Rattus norvegicus: one gene and its partner. The protein of the gene in region 1 binds, or shares a complex with, the protein of each later gene. Links are inferred from orthologs where the notes say so. Each region holds a gene or a part of one and is shown on either strand. Other genes may lie near its edges.

The links. Proteins that work in one complex are often made in the same cells at the same time.
Region 2: Tfdp2 (region 1) and E2f4 share a complex: the UniProt entries of both Homo sapiens proteins name them as parts of the DRTF1/E2F transcription factor complex. The link is inferred for Rattus norvegicus from reciprocal best matches to the Homo sapiens genes TFDP2 and E2F4.

The regions. Positions count from the first base shown.
Region 1 is NC_086026.1:105,705,138-105,709,619, reverse strand, and holds the start of Tfdp2 (transcription factor Dp-2), read right to left. Parts: upstream 3,088-4,482; 5' UTR 3,053-3,087; coding exon of another isoform or gene 3,022-3,052; intron 2,728-3,021; exon of another isoform or gene 2,600-2,727; intron 2,339-2,599; exon of another isoform or gene 2,305-2,338; intron 1-2,304. UniProt on the Homo sapiens protein: Can stimulate E2F-dependent transcription.
Region 2 is NC_086037.1:50,082,912-50,087,481, forward strand, and holds the start of E2f4 (transcription factor E2F4), read left to right. Parts: upstream 1-1,423; 5' UTR 1,424-1,509; coding exon 1,510-1,644; intron 1,645-2,046; coding exon 2,047-2,156; intron 2,157-2,281; coding exon 2,282-2,443; intron 2,444-2,733; coding exon 2,734-2,777; intron 2,778-3,603; coding exon 3,604-3,665; intron 3,666-3,863; coding exon 3,864-4,161; intron 4,162-4,570. UniProt on the Homo sapiens protein: Transcription activator that binds DNA cooperatively with DP proteins through the E2 recognition site, 5'-TTTC[CG]CGC-3' found in the promoter region of a number of genes whose products are involved in cell cycle regulation or in DNA replication.

The sequences.
Region 1 (4,482 bases):
AGCCTGGTCTATACAATAAATTTCAGAACAGCCAGGAATATATAGAGACCCTATCTAAAAAAAAAAAAAAAAAAAAAAAAAAATCAAAAGCTAAAATCAAACCCAAACCAAAAAAGGCTAACTTTAAGAGAAGTATAAAGAGGCCCAAGACATGCATAGCTCTGTGGATAAGGCGTCTTTTCCTCAAGGCTGATGACCTGAGTTCAATCTCAGGACCCAGGAGCCATGTAAAGTTGGGGGAAGAGAGCTGACCCCACATGTGTGCTACGGCATTCATGGTCCATCCCAGTAATAACAGTAAAAATTTTAAGAAAAGTATAATGGCTGAAAGGATACAGTTCAATGGTAGCATGTGTGTCTAGGTTCAGTCACTCACAGTACCAAGATAAAAGACCCCCATAAAGTTAGATGGGAGTGGTGGCCTATTTCTATCATCTTAGCGCTCCAGGGACAGAAGCAGGAGGATCAACCGTTCTAGGTCAGGTCCATCATGGTGGCTTACACCTTTAAAGCCAGCATGAGGGAAGTCGATCTGAGTTCCACGCCAGTCAGACCTACATAGTGAGACCCTACACTTGCCTTCCCCTCAATAGTTCAGCCTGAGCCACATACACATAGCTTCCCCACCCAGAAAGAGTAGCTGTAATACATGTACGTGCAAATTATATACGATCACAGAATTCCCTCTGTGTTACTTATGAAAAGAAAGGTTTTGGGCTGGAGATTTAGCTCAGTGGTAGAGCGCTTACCTAGGAAGCGCAAGGCCCTGGGTTCGGTCCCCAGCTCCGAAAAAAAGAACCAAAAAAAAAAAAAAAAAGAAAGGTTTTTACTTTATTCATAATGAATTTGATGAATAAAAACTTTTTAAAAATATATGACTGCTTTTATTACATACATATTATCTTCCTTCCTGTTCTTTCCAGTGAATAAACATCACCCTTTTCTCCATGAGTAACCTAAGCTGACGATTTTTTTCACGGACAAACTGCAACTTATCACTTCAATCATCAAAACATTTCTTCCATATTTCTCATCCAGAAAATCCTTGGAATAAGTCTCATGTTTCTTGTAGACATGGCCTATCAACACGGACAACTGTTTCCTACTCCATTTGAAGCCTTTGTGACTACTGTACAATTATAAACTTCTGCAACTAAGCATTTTCTATATATTTTATTTGACTTTGGGCTTTACGAGTTATATCCAGTATGTTTTATTTCCTATAATTTAAATGCACTAAAACTTTCTCCTATTTTCATTACACAATTCTTAAAGTTTCTTTTTAAAAGCTGCTTTAACAGAAACTTATACTCATTCTTGTTATGTTGATTCTCAAATCTGACTATAAAGGATGAATTTTAAATAAATGATAAACAGCTGTTTTATTTATTCACCATTTAGGTCGGATTTATGACCCCTCTCTCCTCATTTCAGCTACTGTTGAATTTTGAATGAAACAACTTCAATTGTAACAGAAGAAACATCTGTTGCTTCTTTTTCTTCATCAGGGCTTTCCTAACTGAAAGAAAGGCTCTCTGCCCCTCTCCAACTCCCCCTCCCTATCCACACTGAGTTCCTTAAACTTCTTTCTTTAAATTCATTTGAAGTAAATTACTTAAAATATTGTCATAGCCATTAAAGTATTATAGCTAACAAAAACATTTATTCCCTTATTAAAGCAAAAAAAAAATGTTTTTAAAAACCCAAGATATGTGCTCCACAGAATATAAGCTGTAACCGTAACACAGACTTCAAGGGTGCACTCGAAATGATCGACTCAATCAAGCTGTTACACATTCGTGGCTCACTAAGAATTGTTAGGAATAGGATTTTCTTCACAGTATCCAGACTCTGTAGCGCTCCTTGTGTGCTGTATTTTCTTTGCCAATCCAAAGCTAACATAACGGCAGTCACCACCCCGAGAGGCAGACACCAAATGGTGCCACCCCCTCTCACACGGCGCCTCATAATAAACCATCAAGCAGTGGAATGCACCGGCTCCTTTATGAGCAAACAATGCCGGAGCTTCATTAGAATACAGCTGACATTTTCAAAGCACAAATACTTTGAAGAAAATTGTACTAGGGAAAAAAAGGAATGAAATAACTACAAAGGCTGAATTTTTTTCATGTGTCAGGTTGATTTCTAAAGATTCTGAGGAAGTATACTTCAATGTTGACAATTTAAAAGTTTTCATAAATGGAAAAATATTCAATAAGAGGAAACCTTATTTTATTTACTGGAAAAAAATGAAAGTAAAAGCTACCACTAGAATTGCTTCCACGAGGAATAACTATGAAGTACCTTTAAAATGATGGATGTCTGCAACTGCTTCTTTAACTCCTAAATAGAGAAAGCTGAATTCCAGAATTATCTCTGCATTGTAATTAATTTATATAAATAGCTGAGGATAAACTAGGATAACTACCCCTCCCCCACCCTACCCCCATGCTCTGTAGGTTTTCTATCTGTAACCAGCAAGGACGTCTTGAGATCAGCATGTTCCTGGCTACTTTTCTATTTAGCCTGGCAGCTGCTTAAGAAATAAAAACGCAGTAAAAACTCCCGGGGTTGTGAGAAACAGACTGGTCTCTCTTACCTGGTCTAAGGAAGCATGCCTCTCACTGCAGTACCAACAACACTCTACAGTCTTTGTTACCATTCAGTGGAAACTTGAGACTGTGTCAGACGTAAGCAATCGAGCTCAGACAAGCTCAACTTAAAATACTTCTCAATAAAACTAAAAAGATGCTCAAGAAAACCGGTCAAGATGTGTGCTACCACCCAAGAAAGAAAGACACATCCAAAAAAAAAACCAAAAAAACCTCAAAACCCAGTGCTAAGAAAGGAGCTTTTCTGCATGGAGCTTGGCTTTCTTGCTAAATTACAAAGGCTTCTTAAAATTAGGGGAAAAAAAAAAAAAAGCTTAAAGGTAAAAAGTGATAAAATGCCTAAATCTAAGCTATCTTTTTTCTAAATGCCATTTGAATTTTAAGTAATTTAAGAATAAAATTAACTTACTCACAAGACCTGCATAGTTGGAATTGTACATGTCCGACTGTCTGCGGGCTCCAAGGCAGTCAGTCACAAAGCAGAGGACCTTACTGCATTTTGAAAGCAGAGCAAATGCACCATGAATTTCCCAGAAAAAGGGGAGGAGAAACTCCTGAAAAACTGCTCAGAGCTTTCTGAGCTTGGTGAAACTGTCCAGCCCTTGTGGGAGGGAAGAGTCCTGTCCTGCCCCTGAGATAGGCCCTACTTCAACGCCAAAGTGATTGACAGGCTCATTTCTGATATCAACAAAGAGCAGCTGAGCTGTGCTGTTTGCCCTCCCACTTCCCACAGTTAGTCTTCAACTTTCTGGGTTGGTCCTTTTACATCTAGGGTAAGTACCTTTCTCCATTTTCTCAAGAGAGCAACAATTATTTTGACCTATTTTTAAACACTTAATTAAAGTTACATACCTAATCATCTTACTCAACTTTCCAACACAGGAAATTTAACAAAAGATGACCTTTTAAAGTTCATTTCCAAGTCTACTCTTTGCAATGTCAGATAACTATAAGATTAGCTACCAATATTAATAAACCTTTGCTGCAATAATATTACAAATAAGGCAATAAAAATAAAATTTCCAACTGGCGAGATATAAAAAAATAATAAACTAAAGCAGTTATCTGTGACTATGTAAGTTTAAAAGAAGCAATTCCATCAACAAGCATTTACTGACTACTGATCATAGCCAAGTGCTATCTTCAGGCCTGGGGATGCAGTAATAGTGAAAGCATTCAAAAGTCAAACTAAAATCCCTGTCTCCAGTGGACTTAGCACCTTGTCACGTCTCTGATCCCAGAGAGTTCCACAATCCAACATGACTAAGGTGGTCAGTCTGTCTCTTATCATACATCACCTACACTGGAAAAATTCCCCTCTGAAAGTAAGGTTTTCTTGCTTCTTTGTTGGCTTTTCTCTACTCAGAGCTGGACAGTGATTAAAGTTCAAATATAATTTACCTTGTATATTTTTTGGGACAGGCTCCTTCTTTGTAGCCCAGGCTGAACTACAACATGCAGAAATGCTATCACAGCCTCCTAAGTGTTGCAATGACAGGGTTGAGCCACCAAATGCATTTTTTAATGTATTCTTGACAACAGCTCCAGGAAGGAAAGAATTTTGTGCTTTGCTTTTATTTCTGCATTCTCAACATCTTAAACACTACATGTCTGACATTCCGATCAAGATTGACTGGAAGAGACTAGATTATTTTTTATTCTAATTTGTCTTTTGCTAACACATATTACACTAAATGCACACAGACATGTGCCAACAATGATATAGCATACGGTATGAATTAGCTCGTTTTTTAAAAATCTGAAAATACACCTGTAGAACCTCGAATCTTTTCATTCTACTATCTTAAGGTACCATGGTGTGTCTACTCACTGTACCTGGGCAATCTGTTAAAATTCAATGAACTGGGGC
Region 2 (4,570 bases), on another chromosome or scaffold:
TGATGCCCTCTTCTGGTGTGTGTAAAGACAGCTACAGTGGGGGCTGGGGATTTAGCTCAGTGGTAGAGCGCTTACCTAGGAAGCGCAAGGCCCTGGGTTCGGTCCCCAGCTCCGAAAAAAAGAACCAAAAAAAAAAAAAAATACAGTCTATATAATAAATAAATCTTAAAAAAAAAGGTTATATTGTTCCTGTAAGTGATAGGGAGCCACAGATGACACTAGACGATGATAATGTTGCACCATCCAAATCTACCCATCAGAATAGACCCTCATTTCCAAGCTGCCAGAAAAGCTAAAGTTCTGAGTCAGTATTGATATCCAAAGGCCTCTATAAGTATCCTTGCTGAGCATGAATACCTCAGGAAGACTACCCCAATTTCAGGCCCCATTATAACTAGATCTTCTGAATTCTGCCTGTTTTACTCTCTTACGAGTGTGAATTTGTGTCCAAGAGGAACTGACCACCATAAAGACATAACCATAAGTGATAATGTTAAAAATAAGTAAGACTTGCCAAGTGGCAAGATGGCTCAGAGATCAAGAGCACTTGCTCCTCTTGCAGGACTTTGATTTCTAGCACCTACCTGGTAGCTAATAAATGCCTGTTAGTTCCAGCTCCCAAATATCTGACACCCTCTTCTAACCCTCCCTGAGCACCTGAGCACCTGTGCACATGCGCCCAAACATACACATACACACACCATCATCACCACCACCACCACCACCACCACCACCACCACCACCACCACCACCATCACCATCATCAAAATAATGATTAAAAATAAAAACCTTTAAAAATCGAAAGATAAATGAGACTTGCAAACATACAGTTCTTCCCATATGTCAGAAACTTGCCTTAAAGGCTTTGCTCATATTCACACACAGGCAAGTACCTTTGCACGGACTAAGTAGTGGTTGGAAACAAGACTCCAGGTCACTGTGAACTGTATGTAGCATGGAGGCCAGAGAAAAATAATGCTGGAACTAAATAAGAGTAGATAGTAGAAGTCCGAAGCAAGCTATTTATTGTTAGTGCTTGCAGTTCTGACAGGAACAACAGGAATTATCTCAGAACAGCAGAGAAGCCTTTAGGATCAGTTTTAAGTAAATAGGATAAGCTTGTGGCTTATGGCTTCCCTTTGCTAGATGGAGTGTTCAGGCAGTTAGTAGTTTGGGAGCAAGTTAGCAAGGAATATTCGGGTGGTCCCTCTTCATTACTGCTCACTAACCTCCTCCATTTCCTACGATACAATTTTTCAGGTTTCTTAGCTGTCCTGAGGAGTTGTTTTCGTTTCCTTTGCAAATGGTACATTTGTCAATGGTCCCCAAAATTTTGCGTCAAGATCTACAGATAGGAATTGCACCAGATACCCTGGGAAGGCGCGAGACGGAAGCGGAAGCAGCAATGATAGCTCCGGTGGCCCGGCGACTAGGAACGGAAGCGGAAGTGGTGCCGCCGCCGGCCTGGCCTGGCCTGGCTGAGGGGAGGCTGGCGGGCGGGCAGGCGCGATGGCGGAGGCCGGGCCACAGGCGCCGCCGCCCCCGGGTACTCCAAGCCGGCACGAGAAGAGTCTGGGACTTCTCACCACCAAGTTCGTGTCGCTTCTGCAGGAAGCCAAGGACGGCGTGCTTGACCTCAAGTTGGTGCGGACCGGGCGGAGGGGCGACTGGGGAGATGGTGGACCAGGCCTGGACCAGTAGCGGGAACCAGCGGGGCGGCCCCACTGAGTCCTCTGGCCGCCATCAGTGTGCTTTCTCACACGAGAGAGGCGGGAGGTTATTTTCATTCACTGAAGCCATTGAGCCTCATCTCTGTCTAGGTCCGGGTTGCAGGTGCTGGCCCTCGTGGCCCTTCGTGACTAGTACAGGGAAACGAGCATCAGAATATCAGAACACAACTCTTCCCAAGACTTCCCAACACACTCCTGGAGTAATTGGAAGGAACTCCAGGGTTGGGAAACAAGACTACCCCCATTCCAAACTAAATGAATCAGGGTGCACACTTAGGAGTGGGGCTAGCATTCTCCATTCTCTTCTACCTGCCAGGCAGCCGACACTCTTGCTGTACGCCAGAAACGGCGGATTTACGACATCACCAACGTGTTGGAAGGTATTGGTCTGATCGAGAAAAAATCCAAGAACAGCATCCAGTGGAAGTGAGTAGGGATGTTTGGGAGGGCAGAAGTGTCAGGGGTGTGGGATGATGGTCATCGGAGAGAGAAGAGGGCAGGGACCCAGAGTTCTTAAGGATCCCACTCAGTCTCTCACTCCTGTGGTTCAGGGGCGTCGGGCCAGGTTGCAATACCCGGGAGATTGCCGACAAACTGATTGAGCTCAAGGCAGAGATCGAGGAGCTACAGCAGCGGGAGCAAGAACTTGACCAGCACAAGGTGTGGGTGCAGCAGAGCATCCGGAATGTCGCAGAGGACGTCCAGAACAGCTGATATCCTCTGGCAGACCCTGCCCTGGAGAGTGGGCAAGGGGCTCTCAGCTGCTTTTGCTCTGTAGAGCTCTGGGCCCTTTACCTCTTGAAAGAATGAGCCTGCAACCCCTGGTCAGATTCAGACATGAGGCTCTGGTCTCTTCCAGTCTTAGCCCATGATCCTTACCCACTTGGACCCCAGGTTCCAGAATTTCCTCTGAGGGCTGTGTGGCAGGCATAGGCATAGGCATTGGGTCTCTTCTGTGATCTGGCGTGGTAAAGGCATCAGCTGTTCTCCTTAACCCCCACACCTTGGCCTACGTGACTCATGAAGACATCTGCAGGTGCTTTGCTGGTGAGCAGAGCCTGGTTAGAGGGAGGCAGGGATGGGACTGAGTGAAGCCATGGAGCTCCCAGTGTTAGGTCCACTGCCCAAAAAAGAAGTTCCGACTCTTGAAGGTTCAGAGTTCCGACTCCGAAGCCAGGCAGCAAGTCTCAGTTTGGAAGTCACTGGGACTCTTTAGAGACCCATAGGGTACAAGAGTCCCCTAGGTTTGCCCTCATCAGCAATGTTCTCTGGGTTTGGTTCTTGTGCATAATGGTGGCACAGAGGAAAAGAGAATTTGTACATGTAGATTTGTGTGCACAATCTTACATACTTGTATGCAGGGGTCGGTGGTGTCCGTTTATAATTTGTACTTAGTTCCATTGTGCATATAGGAACCATTTATTAGATATTCCTTGTGTCTTGGAAAAACTTGGTCAGAACATCTGTTTCTAGGAATCAGCATCATTTGAGGAGTGAGGTGGTGGTACCTGTGGCTGGTGACCTCATTCCAGAATATAAGTATACTTAATCCCAGCACTTGGGAGGCAAAGGAGGGCAGATCTTTGAGTTTGAGGTTAACCTGGTCTACTTTGCAAGTTCCAGGACAGCCAAGGCTACATAAAAATACCCTGCCTCAAAAAGGAGAAAGAAAGAAGTGTGCTTGCATCGAGGTTTTCTGGTTACTGAGTATGAGGTTTTGAGGAGAGAATTTACCCAGTGCTTTAGGATGGTAGAGGCTTAATATTCAGTCTCTTAGAGACTCTGGTCACTTGTCTTTCTCCAGACAAGGCAGGAAAAGAACAGATACTTGAATGAGCTCATGGGCCCTGACACATTCTCCTTGTTATTCTAGGAGATACCCTCCTTGCTATCCGAGCCCCATCGGGCACCAGCCTGGAGGTGCCCATCCCAGAGGTAGGTGCTCATCCCTGCAAGGCAGTGTCAACTGAGGGTGGATACTGGCTGTGAAGCTTGATAAGTTCTGGGTGGGGCAGGTAGGGGAGGCCTGGAGTTTAGGGTTATCTAGGTGGATTGGCAGATGAGGAGAGGACAGTGTGGCTCTGAGCCAGTCAGGCAGGAGCTACGCCTGCTTGCAATTCTGTTTGTTCCCAGGGTCTCAATGGTCAGAAGAAGTACCAGATTCACTTAAAGAGCATGAGTGGTCCCATTGAGGTCCTGCTAGTGAACAAGGAGGCCTGGAGTTCACCACCTGTGGCTGTGCCCGTACCTCCCCCTGACGATCTACTCCAGAGCCCACCTGCTGTGTCTACACCTCCACCTCTGCCCAAGCCTGCCTTAGCTCATCCCCAAGAAACCTCTCGTCCAAGCAGCCCCCAGATAACTACCCCCACTCCTGTCCTTGGCAGCACTGAAGTCTCAGATGTGGCAGGCCAGACAGCTGAGATTGCAGGTGAGACACTATGGTAAGGTGTGATGGATTATTTTTTTATTTTTTGGAGCCTACAAGAAACTGTGTCATGGCATGCTATACTGAGAATTAGAAGTTCCTGGGGTCCCCACTTAGCTTTCCTTGGAGTTACAATGAATGTGCCCCTTTAAATTACTCTGTTCATTTATTTGTGAGGGGGACACATGCTACAGGATGCATGTAGAGGTCAGAGGTGATCAGATGACAACTTGAAAGAATTGGTTCTCTCCTTTCATATTTCTGGGATTTGAACTCAGGTCAGGTTTGTCCATGAGTGTCTTAATTCACGAGGATCTCACTTGCCTGAATATGCCCTTTCTAACAAGGAAGCTTTGACTATATAGGCAGCATTAGTAGGGTAGTTTATCCCAGATTGGACAGTGTCTGATGG